Oryctolagus cuniculus: one gene and its partner. The protein of the gene in region 2 purifies or fractionates together with the protein of the main gene of each other region. This does not show direct contact. Links are inferred from orthologs where the notes say so. Each region holds a gene or a part of one and is shown on either strand. Other genes may lie near its edges. The genes, in order: TMEM259 and STYK1.

Region 1 (11,681 bases), on a different chromosome or scaffold from region 2:
GCAAACGGGGCGAAACCCCAAAACCAACCACAGCAGGCCGGGCAGGCCGAGGAAGGGGTGCGCCCCGGGGCTCCCACCCCCCGGCTCCAGGGAGGCCGCCGGACCGAGGGTCGGTGTCGGCTGCAGGCAGGCTCAGGACGCGGCCTCGGAAGGCCCCTCCGCGGGGGCTGTGGGCACGGGGCTGGGGCCGCCCCCTGGGGCCGCCGCGGGGGCTGTGTCCGGCGCAGAGCCGCTCTGGGGGGCGCTGTCCGGGGGGGCGCTAGGGCTCGGGGGGCCGGGGGGCCGCCGCTCCAGGAGAGAGGCGCTCAGGCCCGAGAGGAAGGAGGCGTCCGTGATGATGGCCGCCGTCTCGGCCATCCAGCCCAGGTCGCCCCCGGCCGCGGCCGCCACGGAGGCCGCCACCGCCCCCAGGGAGCTGGGCGCCGAGGCCACAGGCCCAGGACCCCCGCTGGCCGCGGCCGCGCCAGGGCCCAGCGCCAGGGGCTGCGCGGCGGCGTCGGGGGCGGCGGGCGCGCCCGAGTTGTTGTTGAGGTCGTCAGGCAGGGCCGTGGGGGTCCCGGGGCCCAGGGGCGGGGTCCGCAGCAGCAGCTCCTGGATGCGGATCTGCTGCAGGATGGCCGGCAGCTCGTAGTGGTGGAAGAAGTAGATCATGGAATGCTGTGGGCGGAGCCAGGCGCAGGCTCAGGCCCCGCCTGCCCGCCGGTCCAGGGCGCAGGCGGGAGCCCCCCCAGCCCCGCCCCCAGCCCCAGCGGCAGCAGGGAGGCGCCGCTCGGGCCTGGGCCTCACCTGGATGAAGAGCCAGGAGGTGACCAGGGCCAGGCTGCTGTACTGCCCGTTGAAGCGGTAGTGGTAGGCGTAGAACGCGAAGTGGTACAGGTAGAAGAACCTGCAGGGTGGGGTGCGGCGTGAGCCCCCCTGGTGCCCGCCCCGCCCAGCTCCCGCCCCCTGCCGCCCCCGCCTCCTGCACCCTAGCCAGGTCCCCGTCCCCTCCCACAGAGGCCCCCCTCCTGCCCAGCTCCCGCCCCCTGCCGCCCCCGCCTCCTGCACGCTAGCCAGGTCCCCGTCCCCTCCCACAGAGGCCCCCCTCCTGCCCAGCTCCCGCCCCCTGCCGCCCCCACCTCTCCTGCGCCTTAGCAAGGTCCCCGGCCCCTCCCTGACGCCCGCATCCCCCCCACCAGCTCCCGCCCCCTACCGGCCCCGCCTCTCCCACCCAACCCCGCCCCCTGCCGCCCCATACTCCCACCCAAACCCCGCCCCCTGCCGCCCCCGCCTCTCCTGCGCCTTAGCCAGGTCCCCGGCCCCTCCCTGACGCCCGCATCCCCCCCAGCCCCCGCCCCCTGCCGGCCCCGCCTCTCCCCCCTAGCTCCCCGGCCCCGCCCCCTGCCACCCCAATTCCCCTCCCCCACCCAGTTCCCGGCCCCACCTCCCCCAACCCCGCCCCCTGCCCGGCCCCGCCCCGCCCGCCCTCACCGCAGCCAGTGGCGCTTGCTGGTGCTCGTGTGGCAGCAGATGGCGTCGTACTGGTCGGCCAGCCACACGATGAGGATGATGTAGAAGGCCGTGGTGGTGTCGTTGAAGAACTCGGACATGATGGCCTCCATCCCTGCGGGGACAGGGCGCGGGCTTGGCGCGGGGGGCGGGGCGGCCTGGGGGCGGGGCGGCCTGGGGGCGGGGCGGGGCGGGCGGGGGCTCACCCACGAGGGCCAGGATGACCGTCAGCAGCGGCGCTGCGGGGAAGGCGATGGCCATGTTCATCTCCAGCATCTGCAGCAGGTCCACTGCGGGCACAGGGCGCGGGCGGGGCCCGGTGAGGGCGGGGGCGGCGCCCACCGCGCCCCCGCCCGGCCGAGACTCACCGATGAAGACGAAGATCTGGTGGTGCGAGTAGCGCAGCAGCATGGACACGCTCAGGGTCTGCGGGAGGGCGGGGCGTGAGGGGCGGCCGCGGTCCCCGCCCCGCCCCCAGCTGCCGCATGGTCCCCCGCCCTGCCCCCGGCTACAGCCGCCCCGCCGCGCCCCGCCCCGCCCCCGCATGGTCCCCCGCCCCGCCCCCGGCTACAGCCGCCCCGCCCCGCGCCGCCCCCAGCTACAGCCGCCCCGCCCCGCCCCGCCCCCAGCTGCCGCATGGTCCCCCGCCCGCCCCGGCACTCACGAAGATGACCATGATGACGAAGGCGGCCAGGTAGGACGTGCGCGCCATCCACATGCTGACGAAGCGGTAGTGCTCGCCCGACACCACGTTCCGCAGGAAGCCTGGGGGGTGGGGGCCATGAGCCGGCCCGTCCCTGCCTTGCCCCCAGGCCAGGCCCCACCCCCAGGCCAGGCCCCGCCCCGGCAGCCCCTGGCCCCGCCCCCCCAGTTCCCAGGCCAGCCCCGCGCCGGCCTCGCCCACCCCCACCCTGCCCCCCCACCCTTGTTCTCGTCCTCAGCCAGGCCCTTCACGCAGGCCCCGCCCCCGGCCCCGCCCCCCACCCCCCCACCCCCGCCCCGCTCACCCTTGTTCTCGTCCTCCGCCAGGCCCTCCACGCAGGCCCAGCCCCGGCCCCGCCCCCCACCCCCCCCACCCCCGCCCCGCTCACCCTTGTTCTCGTCCTCCGCCAGGCCCTGCACGCAGGCCCCGCCCACCCCACCCCCGCCCCCCCTCACCCTTGTTCTCGTCCTCCGCCAGGCCCTTCACGCAGGCCCCGCCCCGCCCCCGGCCCCGCCCACCCCGCCCCCCGCCCCCGCTCACCCTTGTTCTCCTCGTCCTCCGCCAGGCCCTTCACGCAGGCCCCGCCCCGCCCCCCCACCCCACCCCCGCCCCCGCTCACCCTTGTTCTCCTCGTCCTCCGCCAGGCCCTTCACGCTGGACATGAGGATGTCGTCGTAGCCCAGGAACTCGTCCAGCAGCAGGCGGCTGAAGCGGTCCCCGAAGCACTGGTCCCGCGTGGGGTCTGGGGGCGGGGCAGGGGCAGGTCAGCCGCGGGCGCCTCCCTCGGCCAGGCCCCCCCGCGCCCGCCCCCACTCACCGAGCGTGACCACCATGACCGGGATGCTGAGGCGCTGCCGCGTGGCCTGCGACAGCCGCAGGAAGCCGTACTCCAGGGAGTACTCCACGATGTACTCGTCCTGCGGCCACACTGCGGGGGAGTGGGCGGGGCGGTCAGCGCGGGAGGGAGAGAGTGGGCGGGGCGGTCAGCGCGGGGTGGGGGTCAGTGCAGGGGCGGTCAGCGCGGGGCGGGGGTCAGTGTTGGGGAGTGAGCGGGGCGGTCAGCGCGGAGTGGAGGTCAGTGCAGGGGTGGTCAGCACGGGGAGGGGGTCAGCGCGGGGGAGTGGGGGGGTGGTCAGCGCGGGGGAGTGGGCGGGGCGGTCAGCGCGGGGTGGGGGTCAGTGCAGGGGCGGTCAGCGCGGGGAGGGGGTCAGCGCGGGGGAGTGGGTGGGGCGGACAGCTTGGGGGAGTGGGCGGGGCGGTCAGCGCAGGAGGGAGAGAGTGGGCGGGGCGGTCAGTGCGGGAGGGAGAGAGTGGGCAGGCGGTCAGAGCGGGGCAGGGGTCAGTGCAGGGGCCATCAGCACGGGGCAGGGGTCAGTGCAGGGGCGGTCAGCGCGGGGCAGGGGTCAGTGCAGGGGCGGTCAGCGTGGGGAGGGGGTCAGTGCAGGGGCGGTCAGCGCGGGGAGGGGGTCCTTGCCGGCTGCCCAGGGCCCTGCTGATAAGCTGGAGGCTCTGCTCCGGGACCCCCAGGCCCCAGAGCGGGTGGCCCGCGGCCCTGTACCTTTGGTGGGCGTCTCGGAGAAGGGGAACTCCTGGCTGTCGTTGGCCTCAGTGCCCCGCGGGGGCTTGAACGCCTTGGGCTCGATGTCCAGCTCAAACTGGGGAGGCGGAGCCAGAGTCAGGGCCCGCAGCAGCTCGGGCCTGCTGACCGCCCTGCGGGGACCCCACCCCGGCGCTGCCCCAGCCCCGGGGGTGGGCGCGTGGGGACAGCACCCAGGCCCCGACGGGAGGCCCTGGTCACGGCCGGCCCACGGCCCGCCCTCCCAGCACTGAGGCCGCCAGCCAGGGACATGGGGCCCCACAGCAGGCCCAGCCCTGGCCGGCCTCCGTTCTCGGCGCCCAGGCCCAGCCGACCCCTCCTCGTGGCCACTGGGGCGCTGGGAGGGCAGACCCCGCCCCCGGCAGGGGCCGCACGCCGGGCCTGGCGGCTCACCTGGACAGAGCTGTTCCCGAACATCTCCATGGTCAGCTCCTCGTCCTCGTCCTCCGGCTCCACGGCCAGCCCGGGGCAGCTCCCGGGGGCGCCGGCGCCGGCGCAGAACTGCAGGAAGACGGGCGCGCGGCTCGAGTTGTGCTGCACCTCCACGCGCAGCACGCCCTCCCGCGGCCAGCGGTCCCGCACGTGCTCCAGGCAGCTGATGGGCGAGCGGGAGAAGACGAAGTGGATGTAGGCCAGCACGAACAGCACGAACAGGGCCTGGGGGGACAGCGGGGTCAGCGCCGCGCAGCGCGGGAGAGCCTGGGCTCGCCCCCGCACCGGCACCCCCCGCCGGCGTCCACCATGGCCACCCGCCCCCGCACACGGCTGGACCCGGGCCGGGCGTCTCCCCTGCGAGGGTCGTCCCGGTGCACGCGCCCCCAGCCGCCTCTGTCCATCTGGCTGGCCCGAGCGGGCAGTGCCGCCTGTCCCCGGCCAAAGACCTCGCCTGTCTCAACAGCTGGGCGCCCACATCCTGCTGTGGCCGGCCACACCCCTGCCGCCCCCACAGCACCTGGACACGGCCAGGCCCCCGGACGGCTGTGAAGCCAAGACGGACGGCAGTGGGCTGACCGGGACCTGCGGGACGGGCGGCCTTCAGGAGGCGGGAGCTGGGACCCGCCGTGGGTGTGGCCGGACGCCGCACCTCCTGGTCCTGGGCCGGCCACGACACGCCTCGCGGGTTCACAGGCGGCCAAGGCACAGCCACAGAGCTGCAGCAGTCCCCGGCCAGCAGCCTGGGCAGCAGGGCCTGCCGGGGCGGGCCTTGCCTCCTGCCTCCCCACCTGTCTCTGGGGTCGGAGTGACCCTGGACACGGCTCCAGGCCGCATCTCCCCGTGCGGGGAGGGTGCAGAGCGCCCAAGGCCCAGCCCCGGGACCCGCGGCCGGCACCCTGGGTCCCCCCGCCGCCGGCACCCTGGGTCCCCCCGCCGCAGCCTTCCCAGGAACCCCGCGGGGGTGCCCGCCACTCCCAACCACCACCGCCCACGTCCACGCCACCACGGGTCAGGGCCCTCACCCCGTGGCAGGTCAGGCCGCCTGGCCCAGGCACCTGCTCTGTGCCTTGAAGCCAGCAGAGGCCACGGCCGAGGCCAGCAGGGTGGTCTGAGGCCGCGTCCCCAGCGCCTGGCGCCGCGTGGACACCACGGGCAGGAAGCAAGGTGCTTCCGGAACTCGGGGCAGCGCCGCGGCCGGCAGGAGGAAGCAGGCCACCAAGCTGGCCCGACAGCCGGTGAGCTTCCAGCAACCACACGGCGCCCGGGGCCGGCCACTCCACGCCCACGGAGGGGCCCCGCGAGGCCCCGCGGCCCCCTCGGCCGCCGCAGACCCGGCTGTCCGGAGGGGGCGGCGGCCCGGCGTGCGGCGTCCGGCTCCAGGCCGGGGACGGGCGGCCGAGGCGAGGTCCAGGGGGCTCCCCCTCCCTCCCACCTGCGGCAGGCGGGGCGCAGGCCGCCCCCGGCACCCCTGCACCCCCGCACCCGCGGGCGGGGCGCTGATGAAAACCGCCCTGCCCACTTCCCCACTTCCCCTGGCCGGAGGGAAACCCGGAACACGGGCGGCCCCCGGAGCCGGGCGAGCTCCTTCCGCGACCCCCTCCAGGCCCCCCAGAGCAGACCCGGGAGGGGCGGACCCCGGCGGGGGGGGGGGGAGCCGGAGGCCTGGCGACCTCAGCTGTCACTTTCGCGGTGAGGCGCGGGCAGGGGCGGGGGAGGCCCCGGGGAGGGGACACCCCCACCGGGAGGCGGGCGCCGGACCCTCCAGGCTGGGGAAGGCGCACCAGAGTGGGGTCAAAGGTCGGCGGCAAGTGCGGGACTGGAACGGGTGAACTTTCCGGAGGGGGCGGGCGGCAGGTCCCCCGGCAGGCGGGTGGCCCGGGGGTCGGGGGTCGGGGGTCAGGGGTCGGGGGTCGCGGTCACCTTGAGCAGCACGAAGAACTCGAAGAGCCGGCGGAAGGCGGGCGGGAAGAGCCGCGAGTAGGTCACGGCCATCTTGAAGAAGAGCGCGTGGAACAGCCGGTCGCGCACGTTGATGAGCGGGTTGGGGTTGAGGTTGGGGGTGCGCGGCCCGCGCGCGGGGGCCGGGCCGCCGCCGCCGCCGTTGGGCCCGGGCCCCGGCGCTCCGGGAGCCGCGTGCTCCGACATGCCGTCCGGCGTCGCGCCCTAACGGCCCGCGGGTGCCCGGGGACGCCTCCCGGCCGCCATCGGCGCCCCTTCGCGCCGCTCACGGCCCCCCGGCCGCCGCCGCCATCTTCCGCCTCCTCCGGGCCGCGGCCCTGCTGACCAACGAGCCGCCGCGCACGGCCAGAGCAGCCTCGCTGCGCCCGCGGGGCACCCTGGGATGCCGGCGGCCCGACCGCGGAGGCCCCGCCCCCACGCTCCGCGGCCCGCCTCGGCGGAGCCCGGGGGCGTGGCTGCGCGTGGCACTACTCGTTTGCATATTGCTTCCCAGGAGCCTTCGCGACTGAGAGGCCTCGTTTGAATTGTAACATTATGGGTAGTTTTAGGCTTAGATGTGACTCAAAGTAAGTAAGGGTACAGAAATTGTCCTTTTCTGTAGAACACGAAGGTACTATGCTCTCTGCGAAACTATACCAAAGGTACCCTAAATGTAAAGTAATTTTGTTAGTGACCTTTAAATACTAGCGGCAGGCACTGCTTGTTCGTGCTCGCTTCGGCAGCACATATACTAAAATTGGAACGATACAGAGAAGATTAGCATGGCCCCTGCGCAAGGATGACACGCAAATTCGTGAAGCGTTCCATATTTTGCTACCCCTTTCCACGAACAGCGTGCAGGAGGAGCCGGCCGGGTTCGCGTGGAGCCGCAGCCGTCGCGCGTGAATGCCCACGCAGGGTGTGCGTGACTGGGCGGTGAGCGCGGGGGCCGGGGGTCTACGCCGTCCGCTCTGCAGCCCACGCCCTGCTCCTGCCCTCTGGCACACACCGGAGCAGGTGAGAAGGCGGCCCGGGACCAGAGGGCACTGAACCCACAGCAGACGCACCCCGGGACACGGAGCTCCCGCGGTGCAGCGCCACGGCTCACAGGTGGGCCCGGCGGGGCCACGGTCGCCGCAGCTCTGCCCGCAGCAGCGCTGTGACTTTGTTTCCCTTACCTATTTGATAGGCAGGGGCCTCACCGAAGGAGCCGCGCGCCGCCTTGCGGGCTCACACGGCACCTGGTCCCCGCAGCTCTCCGGCCCCGGTCAGGGCTGCGCCCGCGACCCCGCCCGCCCCTGTCGCGCCTCCGTGCTCGCTCGGCCCCCGCCGCCGCCGCCCCCGTGGGTGGGTTCACGCGGGAGGGGACAGAGGCGCCCTCCCCGAGGGACAGGCCTGTGGGACATCGCCTGTCCCTGACCCCGCAGCCGTCCACCCCGGGGCCCTGCGCTGGGGCCAGTGTGGAAGGTGCGCTCCCACCTGGGCGGCCGGGTCCCAGGTTCTGGACTCCCACGGGGCACGCGCACGAGCCCAGCAGTGGAGAGCGACCCGGAGGGGACGCACGTGTGCATCCTCCGTCTGCGAGGTGGGACCTGGTGGGAGGGCCGGTGTGGGATGCGCCGGGCTGGGGGGACACGCCTGCCCCCTCGCACGCCTGCTGGCGCTGTAAGGAAACTCTGGACGGCACGGAAGCCGGCCCTGACGCCCCCAGTGTGCCGGTGTCCTGCCCCAGGCGGCTCTGTTAGGGGCAGCTCAGGGACAAGAAGTCACCTACAGGACAGGGTCACACCCATAGCTCCCTGTGTCCCGTGCCCAGGGCCATTGCTGGTCCCAGGCGCTGCAGCCCCACCCCCGCCCCGTGTCACTGTAGGGGGGCGACCCATGGCCTCCCCGGCCGTCCTGGGCCCACGTTGACGCACGACGGCCAGCCCCTGGGCCCAGCACCCTGGGGACATTTCCTGGCGCAGCCTCGTCCCGCAGGGGACCGGGCTCAGCTTCCTAAGGTGACACAGCCTCCAGGGAGCGGGGGTGGACGCTGCGGAGGTCACGGAACTGGTCAGCATCGTGTTCCCGAGTTTCTAGAACTGGGATATCCCCAGGTTCCCGAATCCCAGGATGTAGCAAGGGGCGGGGGCCCTGCCCCTGACACCCCCGTCGGGGCCCCTGGCTTCGGCCTGGCCCAGCCCCGGCTGCTGCAGGCATTTGGGGAGCAGCAGGTGGAAGACCTGTCTCCCCCTCTCTTCCAAGTAGGTGGGAGGGGCCGGCGTGGTGGCCTGAAGCCTGGCATCCCGTATAGGTGCTGGTTTGAGACTTGGCTGCTCCACTTCCTGTCCTGCTCGCTGCTGTGGCCTGGGAAAGCAGTAGAAGATGGCCCAAGTCCTTGGGCGCCTGCACCCGCGTGGGAGACTGGGAAGAAGCTCCCGGCTTCGGATGGGCGCAGCTCCGGCCGTTGCGGCCATCTGGGGAGTGGACTGAGCATTCCCGGAGGACGGGTGCGGCATCCGCCGTGGTGAGCACAGGGCACGGGGCAAGCCGGCGCCAGCAGGACGGGACCTGGGTGTCACTGCACGTCCCCAGGTCGGGGAACACGGAACCGCCCTGAGCTCCCTCCCCAGCGGCAGAGCGAGGCTGACAGGGCACAGGCAAGGGGCAGCGGGTGGCACGGCCGTGAGGACCCCTCCTCGGGTGCCTGGCTCGGGCTCTCGACGCCAGCTCCCCGCTGACGCAGACCCCGGGGCCCGTGGGAGCCCCAAATGAGCTCCTGGCTCCCGGCTTCAGCCCGGCCCGCCCCAGCCATCTGGGGCGTGACCCAACCGAGCCGCGAAGATCTCGCTGCCTTTCCAATAAAATATTCAATTTTTTCCATGAACTCTGCCTCATAGAAAGAAACTTTTTCTTTGAGACAAAATTCACACACAGCCGGGTTGTTTCAAAAAAGATTCCCGACCCCCGAACGGGGCCCCACCTTGAAGGCGGCTGCCACTGGGCCCTGTTCCGGGAGCACACGGGCCAGCCGGCTCCGGAGCCAGGACGCGAGCCCCTCCCCCGAGGCTGAGGCTCGTCGGGGCTGGGGGCCGGGCCCGCCCCCGGGGAGCGGGGCTGGATGGGGGCTGCACAGCCCCGGGTGGGCCCTGCGGGGCAGAGAAGACATCACATCAACCTGTGTGTCCTGGACCCGCCTGTGGGGCCGCGGCGTGGTGGGTAGACCACGCGGACCCCCAGGTGCGGTGAGAGCAGCAGGGACCCCGCCCTGCGCACGCCCCGATCGATCTCCCTCCCTCGCGGCTGCTGGGTCGACCACCCGCACGCTCGGGGTGAGCAAGAAACCGAGACCCCGAAGGGAAAGGATTTGCCCGGATGGGAGTGGGCGTGGGCGTGGGCGCCCCCCAGGAGAGGAAAGGACCCCAGGGGCGCCAGGCCCCTGCACTGCCTCCCGCCAGTCCGGGGCTGAGCCGCGGGCAGCAGGGGCGCAGGCCGATGCACGCGCGAGCGCGTGGACGTCCACGCTGTTCTGCGTCCGTGTGCCCGGCTCCCGCACAGACACCGCCCGTGGAGCACCAACCGCGTGCCCGGTCTCCGTCCGGCCCCGGGGTGGCGCGGGACTCTCGGGGGTCGCGCTCCCGGGGCGGGGGTGTCAGCGGAGCCGCCGGGCGAGGGGCCCCTCCCGGCCGCCGCCGTCCCGGGAGCGCGACCCGGGTGGGGGTCGGGCGCGGCGAGGGGCTCAGGAAGTCCGCGGCCGCAGGAATTCGGCGCTGCCCGGCCTTATAAGGACAAGAGCGCGGCGGGCCAACCAGCGGCGGGGGGCGGGGCCGTCGCCGCCGCGGCACGCCCCCGCCGCCCGCACGCCCCGCCCCCGGCACGCCCCTCGTGGGCGCCCCGCCCCCGGCACGCCGCCTCGCGCGCCCCTCCGCGTCCCGCGCGCTCGGTCCGCGCCGCCAGCATGAGCTCCACGCAGTTCAACAAGGGGCCTTCGTACGGGCTCTCGGCCGAGGTCAAGAACCGGGTGAGTGAGGGGCGGCGCCTCGGACCCGGGCGGGCGTCGGGGCGGCTCTGGGAGGGGCGCCCCACGGCTCCTCGGGGAGCCCCGAGATTCCAGACGAGGCAGCGCCTCCCGTCCGCGGCGCTGGGTGGTGGTCTGGGCGCCCTCCCCGCCCACCTGGGCCCGTGGATGCGCCCTCTGGTCTCAGCCCCGACCCCCACAGCCTCCAGGCCTCGGAATGTGCAGCGCGGGTGGGGGGACCCCTGCAGCCCCCTCCCCATCCGCGGGCCGCACTTCTGCTTTTTCGGCTTCGGGACAGGAAAGGGGCGGGGCCGCGGTGCTGAGCAGGGTGTGGGCCACCCCCGCGGGACTTTCTCGACCTGTTCTAAACCTGCGGGCGCCTTCTGCCCCGCCCCGCCCCGCCTTCCCCGAGGGCCCCCGAGCGAGCGCGACCCTGAAATGCCTGGCAGCGTGGACAGGGCCGATGAGAGACTTTTGTAAAAACTTTGCGAGAGAGAGAGAGAGAGGGAGAGAGCTTCCGCCCACTGGTTCACCCCCCAAGTGCCCACTATGGCCAGGGCTGGGCTGCATCCGGGGCCCCGGGGGCGGGGTGGCAGGGACCCCCGCGCTGGAGCCGGTCCTGCTGCCTCCCAGCGTGCATCGTGCATCAGAGGGAGCTGGAGTCAGGAGCCGGGCCCGGAATGGGCTCCAGGAGACGGGCGGGCGTGGGGCTGGAGCTGGCCGGCCCGGAGACCCTTTTGGAGAGCCCACTGTGGCTCTGGCCCGGAGAGGGGCAGGAACGGGATCCTGAGTGGGGAGGGGCAGAGAGAGATGGGGAACGTTCGGTTCCTCCTAGTGGCCTGTCCGGCTGACAGGTGGGAGGGCGTGGTCATCCTGCCCCCCCCACTTTCCCCCGGGGGCACCTGGGGATGCAGCCCCACAGCACAGGCTGGGCACTCGGCGGGCCTGACAGGTCCCTGCCCTCCGGGAGACCCTGGGGCTCCTCGGAGCCTGCCCACCCGGGGACCAGAGGGCGGACGGGCGAGCAGGGACCCAGCCGGTGGCCGGCTGCCCTAACCACTGGGCGTGGTTAAGCCCTGGCTTGCACCCGGCCTGCAGTGGCGCCGCAGGACCACACAGCTTGGGCCCAGGCCAGACCCAAGGCCAGCGCCCACTGGCCCCCGGCTCTCCCAGGTGGGCTGGCCCAGGACAGCGGAAGTGGGGAGGGTGCACCGCCCTCCCACCACCCCCACCGCGGCGAGGCAGCTTCCGGAGCCGGCAGCAGGGTGTGGTGAGGGGCAGGCCGACACCTGCCTGGCGGCGCTGAGGTCAGAGGAGCAGCGGCCGCCCCAGCTCCCTGTGTCCGGCCCGCGGCCTCCCAGTTGGAAGAGCAGCGCCACCGGCAGCTCGCGGGGTCGCACCGAGCTGGCAGCCCCGCTGCAGACCCGGTCCCCGTGGCTCCGAGCCCACGCCCTGTCCACGGTGCAGCCGCTCGGGGCGACCCAGGCCGCACGAGGCAGGCCGAGGTCCGGGGCCTCTCA
Region 2 (10,759 bases):
ATGATTCAGTTCTTACTATAGACCACCATTTGAAAACACAAAAGAAAAATAAAGCACCAAGCCATACCACTAGGTTAAGTTGCCAGTCCAATTTGCCCTGGATTGTGCAGGTTCCTGTGATATGAAACTTCCTGCTTTAAAACCTGGAGAGTCCCAGGAAAGATGGGGTGAGTTGGTTACCCAGGATTAATTCACATAAACTTGAGCATAATATTTCATAGTATTTCTGAAAATACTGGTTGTGGTCCATCTAGTTGAATTACATGAGAAGCTTCATTCAATATCTTCAGATTCTCTGATGTATATTCTTCAGATTTTGGCACATGGCCCATGTTTATTTTTAGGTATGCCTAAATACAGCTGTGGATACCAGAATTTGTGACTATGTAAATAGAATTTATGGAATGCACTGATCTTTGTAGATCAGTTACTGTGTTGATCCCCTAAGAAGACTTAAGAGTTCAAGACTAATCCACTTTTTAAAGATGAAATACAGAACTATATTTACCTGACTATTCATATCTTTTTTTTTTTTAAAGATTTGTTTATTTGAAAGGCAGAGTTACTGAGAGAAAGGGGGAAGAGATAGATCTTCCATCCTCTGCTTCACTCCGCAAATGGCTGCAACAACCAAAGCCAGGAGCTTCTTCCAGGTCTCCCACATGGGTGCAGGGGCTCAAGCACTTGGACTATGTTCTGCTGCTTTCCTAGGCACATTGGCAGGGAGCTGGACTGGAAGTGCAGCAGCTGGGACTAGAACCCATGCTTGTATGGGATGCCACTACTGAAGGTGATGGCTTTTTCTGCTGTGCCACAGCACTGGCCTCCAACTATTCATATCTTAAAGCAAAAGTGTACCCATTGTGTCAGGACAAGAACTACAAAGTGATCACACTTTGATCACATGTGCCTCATGTCACTGAATAACTGAATTCTTTCATATTTTTATTTATTATTTTTAAATGCTCATTCCATTTGAAAGGCAGAAAGACAAAGATCTTCCACCTGCTGGCTTACTCTCAAATGCTCGCAATACCCAGCCAGAAATCAATCTGGGTCTCCCATATGGTGGCCTGGAACCAAGTACTTGAGCCATCACCTGCTGCCTCCCAGGGTGTGCATTACTAGAATGCTGAATTGGAAGCAGAGGGGCTTGGGACTCTCTCCAACCAGGCACTCTGATAATAAGATGTGGGCATCTCAAGTGGCGTCTTAAATCTCTGTGCCAAATGCCTGCCCCAGGAACAGAATTCCTAATTTGATTAATTTTGATTACCAGTTAAAGAACTCCACGTGACTAGTAGCTATTGTGTTGGTCAGCACAGATATAGGAAACTTTTCATGAAAATATTTTGTGGGTGTTTTTATAAACAAAAGTTATGTATGTATGTATTTGAAAGAGAGGGAAGGAGAGAGGGAGGCGTGGGGGGAGAGAGAGGTATCTTTCAATCATTGGTTTACTCAAATGGCTATAACATCCAAGACTGTGCCAAGCAGAAGCAAGGAGCCACGAACTCCACCTGAGTCTCCCACATGAGTAGCACAAGCCCAGGTACTTGAGCCATCCTCAGCTGCCTTCCCAGGTAAATTAATAGGGAGCTGGATTGGGACCAGAGATTTGGGATTTGAACTGGCATTCTGATATTGGAGGCCAGTGTAGCAAGCCATGGTGGCTAAACCCACTGTGCTATAACACTGGCCCCTGTAACTGTTTTTCAATCTCAGTTGCTTCAAATTAGTGCAGACTTAATGATAACTCCACAGTTTACTTATGGAAAAAAAAAAGTTTGAGCTACTAAAATGAAGCCAAAGCACTATTTTTGTCCTTGCTAACAGAGTGGTCAACTTCAAAGCACCTGTGAAGTAGATAAGGAATGTTTTATTACCAATTCTAACTGAAATGGAGCCTAATATTTGTTCAGGTATACAATATTCATTGACACAATAATGATTCTTCTGTAGAGTTTCTATGTTCTTTTCCTTGAGCTTCAAGGTGATGAATCAATTTAGGGGGCTATCACCAAAGAAAGTTATATCTTATAATTGTTAACATTTAAAATGTTCTACTGATTTTTCCTACATAGAAAGTTCTCTCTTCATTTGATCACACTTTTATGTCTCATGTGTCCTCCAAATTCTTTTTTGCCTCTTTATTTAAAAGAGCCAAATTATTCTGACTTCTGATTTTCAGAAGTATGTTCTACCTTCATTGTAATAAACACTGTAGATAATAGTCTAATGTTTTTGTTTGGTTTACTGTATCATTATTTTTTGATTAGCTTTGACTTTGTGAAAGCAGTCAGGCCTATCTCATCCCGTTAAATGGATCAGAGTAGTAAGTCAAATATATATGTTCTAACAGAGCATGCTAATAAAGTGGTTTAAAATGAGAAAAAGGAAGAATGAGTTAGCCTCTTTCGGTCCTTATTCCATCTACCTACCTTTCTCTTTTTTGTAATGGACATCCCTTATGGATTTTAGCCTATCTTTTGTTTGTTTTAAACTACTCAGCGATATTTCTTTCTAAGTAAGAGACTCACCATCATGCAGAAACATCAAACTTACCATATCATTTTTTTATCAGATATGTTTATGTATGGTGAGCACATGGAGCTATATCTAGGTTATAATGATATGATGCTATATTTAATTCCATTATCCAATCTAAGAACTTTTTTTGCAGAGTACAGCTTCAAAGACATAGCATAACCTTTAACTATTGTGCTTCAAATAGATTGTTAAATTAAGAATAATAGGAGGTCCTCTGGTCTTCCATTGTAATAGCTACTTGATTATTTAAGTAAATCAGTGTGGTAAAGCAAAAAAAATTTTTTTGAATTAGGTCAACAAGCTTAAGTTCAAGAAACTTCTATTAACTTTTTTCTTTTAAAAATGGTGAAAAGTGCCACTATTATTCAGTTTCCATAACAGTAACTGCCAGTTCATATTATTCTATGCAAAACTAGATTGTTAAGTTTCCTTTAGCCGCTTTACCTAGGCATATGTTTGCCCAGTTCCTAACTGTTGTTATTTTTTTAATATAGAGCATAAAAACAAAACTGTAGGAAGGCTGTTCAAAACAATAAAAATATGAATTCCACTTGATTAAATGGTGACTGTTTTAATTCTGTTTTGCATTCATTACCTTTGAAGTACCTAGTTTTGTCTATAAAATATCTAGATACCAGAAATAAAACCTCAGATATGTGGCCAGCGCTGTGGCACAGCAGGTTAAAGCCCTGGCCTGAAGCCGGCATTCCATATGGGCACCGGTTCTAGTCCTGGCTGTTCCTCTTCCATCCGGCTCTCTGCTATGGCCTAGAATAGCAGTACAAGATGGCCCAAGTCATTGGGCCCCTGCACCACATGGGAGACCTGGAAGAAGCTCCTGGCTCCTGGCTTTGGATTGGCGCAGCTCCAGCCATTGCAGCCCTCTGGGGAGTGAACCAGTGGATGGAAGACCTCTCTCTCTGCCTCCACCTCTCTCTGTAACTCTGTTGTTCAAATAAATAAAATAAATCTTTAAAAAAAAAAAAAACCCTCAGACACAAAATCCTCCTTTCAAAAAAAGCCAAGTGAGGAGAAGTTACTGGTTTCTAAGGATCAGAGTTCCTGTTTCCATTTTTCCAGGCCTATATTCAGGAAAATAAATAAATTAGGGTAAAGTTTAAAATGCTAATTGTCTGCTTCTTTCCCTCCTACCAAAACAAATATGCATGGATCCTTTGAAAGGTTCATTCTGCATTTCACTGTACCACTATCCCTCTCACCATGTGCAGCCCCTATGCTTCCTTGAAGTTCCTCAAACAATGCTTCTTGCCCTGGAGTTTTCACCAATGTAGTGCATTCCTGGAAGGCTCTTCCCACTGTCTTCCCTACCCATCCCTAAGGTCTCAAGTTAAATGCTGTATCTTCAAAGATACAGCATACTTCTTTCTATCCTATGATTTCTTTTGATAGTGCTTAATATAATTTGTAACTAAAAGATACCCACACAAATAAATATACAGTCTCTTAGCTTCTGAACTAATCAAAAATCTCCTTGTTTTTATTTATTTATTTTTTTATCCAACACCTGGCATCCAGTGTCTGGCACAGTGAGTCAGTATTCAGTATCTGTGTGACTATGGCAGCGCAGTGGGAGAAGTTGCTGTTTGGGATGCTGCATCCCATATTGGAGTGCCTGCATTGAAGTCTCATCGCCACTTCCTATCCAGATTCCTGTTAATCTGTGCACCCTGGGAGGAAGCAGATGATGGCTCAAGTGCTTGGGGTCTGCAACCCCTGTGGGAGACCCAGATAGGATCCCTTTTTTGAAAAACATTGACTTTACCATTTTATTCATGTGTTGTTTGTTGTCTCCTGACTTAAGCCTGCCCCAGCCTCTGCTGTCGTGGGCATTTGGGGAATGAACTCACAGATGGAAGACTTCTCAATATTTCTGCTTCCTTATCATTGTCTCTCCCTTTCAAATGAATAAATAAACATTTAAAAGTTTCATTTTAAGTACGTGAACAAATAAATACTTTGTAAATTTGACTTAAAGGAACATCTGAGAAACAATGGAATTTCCCCAGAAACTTATTGTTTGTTCCAAGCCACTCTACCTCCCTTCTATTGCCATCCACTGCCCATTTAAATCCCAACAAATCATTGAGAAGTTTCCAGGAGTAACAGAATCAGTCTTTATTTGGCTAACTCATCATGACTCCATCAAGTTTCCAACTCCTACATCATTTTTAGCTGTCATTTTTCCTTCAGCAGCTTTAGATCCCAGCATTCTATTTTTTTTTTAATTTACTTACTTGGACAGTCAGAGTTAGAGAGATGGAGAGAGAGAGTGAGAGACAGAGATCTTCCATCTTTTGGTTCACACCTCACATGGCCACAAGAGCCAGGGCTGGACCAGGCCAAAGCCAGGAGCTTCATCCAGGTCTCCCAAACAGTTGAGCCATGCTCTGCTGCTTTTTGTGCACAATAGCAGAGAGCTGGATCAGAAGTGGAGCCAAGCAGCCAGGACACAAACCGGCGCCCATATGGGATGCTGGGGTCACAGGCAGCAGCTTTACCTGCTATGCCACAATGTTGGCCTCCAGCCCAGTGTTCTTTAAAATTACAGATCATCATATTCAACAGATTTGCTCTCATCATGATACTTTTAATATTTTTTAAAATTTTTGTATTTATTTATTTGAGAGACAGAGATGGAGAGACAGAGAAAGGTCTTCCATCCACTGATTCACTCCCCAGTGGCCCCAACAGCCAGAACTGAGCTAATCCGAAGCCAGGACCCAAGAGCTGGATTGGAAGAGGAGCCAGGACACAAACCAGCACCTATATAGGATGCCAGTGCTGCAGGCAGAGGCCCAGCCTACTATGCCACAGTGCCGACCCCTATCTTTAATATTTTGAAATAGGAATATTATTGTCATCCAGAAGTTCACACAAAAATGGTGACATCAGGGGCAGCAGTTAAGATAGCACTTGGGATGCCTGTATCCCATATGGGAGTGTGGGGTTTGAGTCCTGACTCTGCTTTAGACTCCAGCTTCCTGCTAATGCACATCCTGGGAGGCTGCGGGTGATGGCTGAAGCACTTTGATCTCTGCCACCCATGTGGGAGACCCAGATTGAGTTCTCAGCTCCTGATTTTGGCCTGGCCCAGCACCAGCTCTTACAGGCATGAGGGTAAACCAGTGGATAGGATGTCTTGATATTCTCTATTTCCCTCTCTCTCTCTCTCTCTCTCTCTCTCTCAAATACATACATACTTTTTTGAAAAACATTGACTTTACCATTTTATTCATGTGTTGTTTGTTGTACCATGCCATTATCTACAGGCCTTTCCAGCTTTGTACTGTCACAGACCAAGGCTTTCTTCTGGGTCACAGATTTTATATGAAATCTATTTGGAAGATTCTGGGTTAGGAAGGGCACAAGACAGGAAACTAACATTTATTGAGCACTGTTTTATGCCAGACACTGCACAAATACATACTCTCATTCAATCCTTCTGTGAGTTGGATATTATCCCCATTTCACACATAAAGAATCCCTTTTCTGACAATGTAGGTTGTCCCTTAAATTTTTCTGTTGAATTAACTTCTAGGCATTTACCTTTATCTTCTCTATTGTAGAAATACTTTGGCAGCTGTGAACCAGAAAATCGTACTTCCATTTAATGAGTATTAATTTAATGATATTTCACCATGAAGCTACCATCCTTCCATATCAGATTACATACATGCTTTTCTAACCCCTCTTAAAGACTTCTAAACCACCAAACCTTCATACTTAGCCATCACAATCCTTATTCATTACACCCATGTGCATACACACAAACACACACACACATACACAGATTTGGGTCCACACCTACACTCCTGAAGCAAATTAAATCTTGTATATTCTTTCTCATCCACTCTCTCATTGGATTTCTGTTCCTCTGGACTTTGTAGGAGTCTAGATAAAAACATTCTTCAGGAGTAAACTAACCTTGGGTGGGAGATACCAGCTCATGTTTGTCATGTCCCAACAAACACTGCAGATTTCTGATACCTGCTGGGCTGTAACGTTTTCCACCACTGCTCCCCCAGGGTCTATCAAAATGGGACTGATAACGAATTCCTGAGCTCAAAGAGATATGTGTGGAGAGCCTCATCCAACATCATTTTAGAATTCTAGGGAAATGGTTAGGGAGAGATCCAGAATGCTTGTCCCATTTCTCCCTTTATCTCTCCCCCAGAAAGTCTGTTCTTTGTTCTTGGAGGAAAACTGTTTCGAAGAGCATACAGTCGTCCATGAGTGTTTCCTGCTGGAGTGGGGGGTGGGGCCGTCAAAGGATGCTGTAGCTGTAGGAGAGGCTGTTTACACTGATGCCGGCCACGGCTGCATACAGTTCAGGCACCACCAACTCTGGCACTTGCAACACAGCCTTGTCATCTGCAGTTCTAGCAGCAGCTTCAAGGCGCACACGCAGCTCTCTAGGCAGAGGGCGGCTGTCCTCACTCCAGCGCCAGCAGGACTTCATAATATTATACCTGAGAGGCGAACAAGAGAAATTTGACTAGGCAAGTGTATGAGGAGAGAGAGTACCCCTTCCCACAAACATTCACAACAACATCACTCTGGTTTCCTCTCATTTACTGGACAATGCAGAGTGGAAAAAAGTGTTCTGCCATACTCTTTGTAGTTTAAAAAATGCATAGTGTATGCTAAACCAGCAGTGCTAGGACTGGATGTATACCTTTTTTATTCTGTAATACAAGATGGAGCTTTTAACCATTTACTGTATCGCCCCACACTTTATGTTGGCTTTTCATGTGATTTCAGTGATCTCCTCATTAAAGCATTAAGTTCTGGCCAGCGCCGCGGCTCACTAGGCTAATCCTCCACCTAGCGGCGCCGGCACACCAAGTTCTAGTCCTGGTCGGGGCACCGGATTCTGTCCTGGTTTCCCTTCTTCCGGGCCAGCTCTCTGCTGTGGCCAGGAAGTGCAGTGGAGGATGGCCCAAGTACTTGGGCCCTGCACCCCATGGGAGACCAGGATGGGTACCTGGCTCCTGCCATCGGATCAGCGCGGTGCACGGCCGCAGCGCACCGGCTGTGGCAGCCATTGGAGGGTGAACCAACGGCAAAGGAAGACCTTTCTCTCTCTCTCTCTCTCTCTCACTGTCCACTCTGCCTGTCGAAAAAAAAAAAAAGTTTCTCTCTCTCTCTCTCTCTCTCTCTCTCTCTCTCCACCTCTCCCCCCTCTCTGTTTCCCCTCTCTTTCTCCCTTTTCCTTCTTCTCTGTAACTCTGCTTTTCAAAAAAAAAAAAAAATTAAGTTCTGTAAGGTCATGCACTTTGTCAGGTGTCTCCCCTAGTATAAAGAACAGCCTTTAAAAAATTATATATTTCAGCCGGTGCCGCGGCTCAATAGGCTAATCCTCCACCTGCAGCACCGGCATCCCGGGTTCTAGTCCTGGTTGGGGTATCGGGTTCTGTCCCGGTTGCTCCTCTTCCAGTCCAGCTCTCTGCTGTGGCCGGGAAGTGCAGTGGAGAGTGGCCCAAGTCCTTGGGCCCTGCACCCACATGGGAGACCAGGGGAAGCATCTGGCTCCTGGCTTCCAATCAGCGGGGTGCGCCAGCCGCAATGCGCCGGCAGCAGTGGCCATTGGAGGGTGAACCAACGGAAAAGGAAGACCTTTCTCTCTGTCTCTCTCACTGTCCACTCTGCCTGTCAAAAAAGTATATATTTCAGAGGCAGAGAGACATACGGACAGAGAGACAGAGATAGAAAGAGCTCCCATCATTGATTCAGCTAGGCTGAAGCTGGGAGCCAGGAACTCAATCCAAGTCTCCCCTGTGGGCAGTAGGAGCCCAATTATTTAAGCCATCATCACTGCCTCCCAAGGTTTGCATTAGCAGGAAACTAAGATCAGGAGCTGCGGATCACACATAGGCATACTAATAATGGCGTGCTTGCATCCTAACCAGCATCTTAGCTGTAAGGCTAAGCTTCCACCGCAAGGACAGCCATACAAGAAAACATAGAAGAAATACCTGTCAGCCAGAATTATTACACTCTGTGTGTGTGTGCTTGTAGTTAAGATATTTAAACATTATAATCAGCTCAATACAGTAACTGTTTATTGTAGGGAAAACCAGGTGTTGGAAACTTAACCCTTCCATGCTGACAAATTACAAAATAGCAACAGTTGTCATACAAATATTCATTAGCATATTAGTTGCCTTCCTAGACACAATTGAAACTTTCCTTATGTTTTCTAATAGTCCCTTTTAAACTACTGGTGGTAATTTTGTTTCACTGTCTGCTTCCAAGTTGGTTTACCAGCTGTCCCTTCCTGCCGACACTATTGGATCCTCCTGTTGCTGCTTTCTAATTTCTTCTTACTTTCCCTCTTCTGTTAGGCTTCTATCTGCTGGGAGCTGGGAAAACACAAGTCATTAGTTTCAAAAAGTTAAATATTAAATAAGAGCCATTATAGCCAGAATGAGTAATTGCAATGCAATGAATTTTATCATCTGCTATCTTTGAACTGAAGCTGGCAGCACACTGATATTTAGACAAGTAAAACACCATTGCTCTTGCACTGAGTTTGGTCTGCACTCTATCAATTTTCAAACGTCCCTGTGGAACTAAATTTGATCAAACTCAGATTTCTCATATGCTTCTCAGTGGTTGCTTCAACATCAGAGGGGAACAGAAATATATATATATATATATATGCACACACACAAACATACATACATATATGTATATATAAGAGGGTACTTTTAAAAACTGGTGGAAATTAAGTTAACATACAAGTTCATTTTGGTGCAAAAAAAAAATGAAATCCATGTATATATGAGGGCTGGTGCTGTGGCACAGTAGGTTAAGCCTTCACCTGTGATACTGGCATCCCATATGGGCTCTGGTTCATGTCCCAGCTGCTGCTTTTCTGATTCAGCTCTCTGCTATGGCCTGGGAAAGCAGTAGAAGATGGCTCAAGCGCTTGGGCCCCTCCATCCACGTGAGACACCTGGTAGAAGTTCCTGGCTCCTGGCTTCAGATCATCTCAGCTCTGGCCGTTGCAGTCATTTGGGAGTGAACCAGCAGAGAAAAGACCTCTCTGTCTCTGTCTGTAACTCTCTCTCTCAAATAAATAAATAAATAAATCTTTTTAAAAAATATTCGTGGAAAATGCACATTATGAAAACCTATGCATGGAATTCAAAAATATCTTATATTAAAATAACTTATCCTTTAATTCCATTTTCCATAAATTTTTCAAGTATCTTGATATGTGTATAGGATGTGTATGCATCCGTGACATAGGAGCAGACATGTTTTCACTGTATGGGTTTGGTCGAAGGCTACAAATTATCATCTAAGGACAGCTGAGGGTCATCTAAGTCACTTTGAAAACGGCACACTGGGTAGGGAGCAAGAAAGATTTGAATTGAGCAAAGAGAAGGCCTTTAAAACCCACGTACATGGTGTGTTTGCAGCTACTGGGTCTCTTCATGATTTTCCTTCTCTGGAGATGCTGCAGGATGCTGGTGGGAGGGACTTCAGGATATGGTGGTGCTCCTGGCAGCACAGGAAGAACCCGAAAAGCAAAAGAGTTTAGAGCTTAACACACTAAAGTATTAATGATAACTAACATTACTGTCCATTCCCTTAATCACCCACAGAAGGTATAGTCACAGGAAAAATACTGGATCCAATATAGTTGCTCCCAGTGATCAGGTAAGGATGTAGTTTAGAAAATTTTGAGGAAAGATGTTTTGGGGAAAAACTGATAAAAGAGAAATTTTGAGTCTTTAAGAAAGTGATAAAATAATGCAAAGGAATAAGGCCTACCACCTACTACCCATAACATGAAAAGGTGCTACAATTTCTCAATAAAATGGATTAAAAAGCCTGAATAAAATATTTTTTATGTTTATGCAAGATCACTTTGGAAATTATTCTTCGGATTTGAAAACATCCCTTGAAATTGGTGAAGGAAGGAAGGAAGGAAGGAAAGAAGGAAGGAAGAAGAGAGAGAAGAGGAAGAGAGTAAAAGTTAAGAGAAGGACAAAGAGGGAGGGTGGGAGGAGGGGGGGGACAATCACTTTGCAACACTTCTCAGGTATCAGTCTTGAATTTCATGTTAATCCAATTCATACTTCAAGGCTTATACCGAAACCCTTTCTCAAAGCACACATCCTCCAGCCCCCAAATAAACATTCTTGCTTATCTGCACAATGCTTTGGGGACCACTCTT

The links.
Region 1: the proteins of STYK1 (region 2) and TMEM259 purify together in Homo sapiens (affinity purification with mass spectrometry; 3 studies listed by BioGRID and IntAct, with this or other methods). This does not show direct contact. The link is inferred for Oryctolagus cuniculus from reciprocal best matches to the Homo sapiens genes STYK1 and TMEM259.

The regions. Positions count from the first base shown.
Region 1 is NC_091447.1:58,534,912-58,546,592, forward strand, and holds the start of TMEM259 (membralin), read right to left. Parts: upstream 6,558-11,681; 5' UTR 6,369-6,557; coding exon 6,144-6,368; intron 4,446-6,143; coding exon 4,182-4,445; intron 3,847-4,181; coding exon 3,750-3,846; intron 3,120-3,749; coding exon 3,009-3,119; intron 2,934-3,008; coding exon 2,811-2,933; intron 2,254-2,810; coding exon 2,153-2,253; intron 1,915-2,152; coding exon 1,695-1,914; intron 1,604-1,694; coding exon 1,471-1,603; intron 887-1,470; coding exon 787-886; intron 658-786; coding exon 133-657; 3' UTR 1-132. Other genes in the region: CNN2 (calponin-2), read left to right, coding at 10,102-10,164. UniProt on the Homo sapiens protein: May have a role in the ERAD pathway required for clearance of misfolded proteins in the endoplasmic reticulum (ER). Promotes survival of motor neurons, probably by protecting against ER stress.
Region 2 is NC_091440.1:108,190,179-108,200,937, forward strand, and holds the end of STYK1 (tyrosine-protein kinase STYK1), read right to left. Parts: intron 10,081-10,759; coding exon 9,984-10,080; intron 8,934-9,983; coding exon of another isoform or gene 8,912-8,933; exon of another isoform or gene 7,774-8,911; intron 7,041-7,773; coding exon 6,836-7,040; 3' UTR 4,672-6,835; downstream 1-4,671. UniProt on the Homo sapiens protein: Probable tyrosine protein-kinase, which has strong transforming capabilities on a variety of cell lines. When overexpressed, it can also induce tumor cell invasion as well as metastasis in distant organs.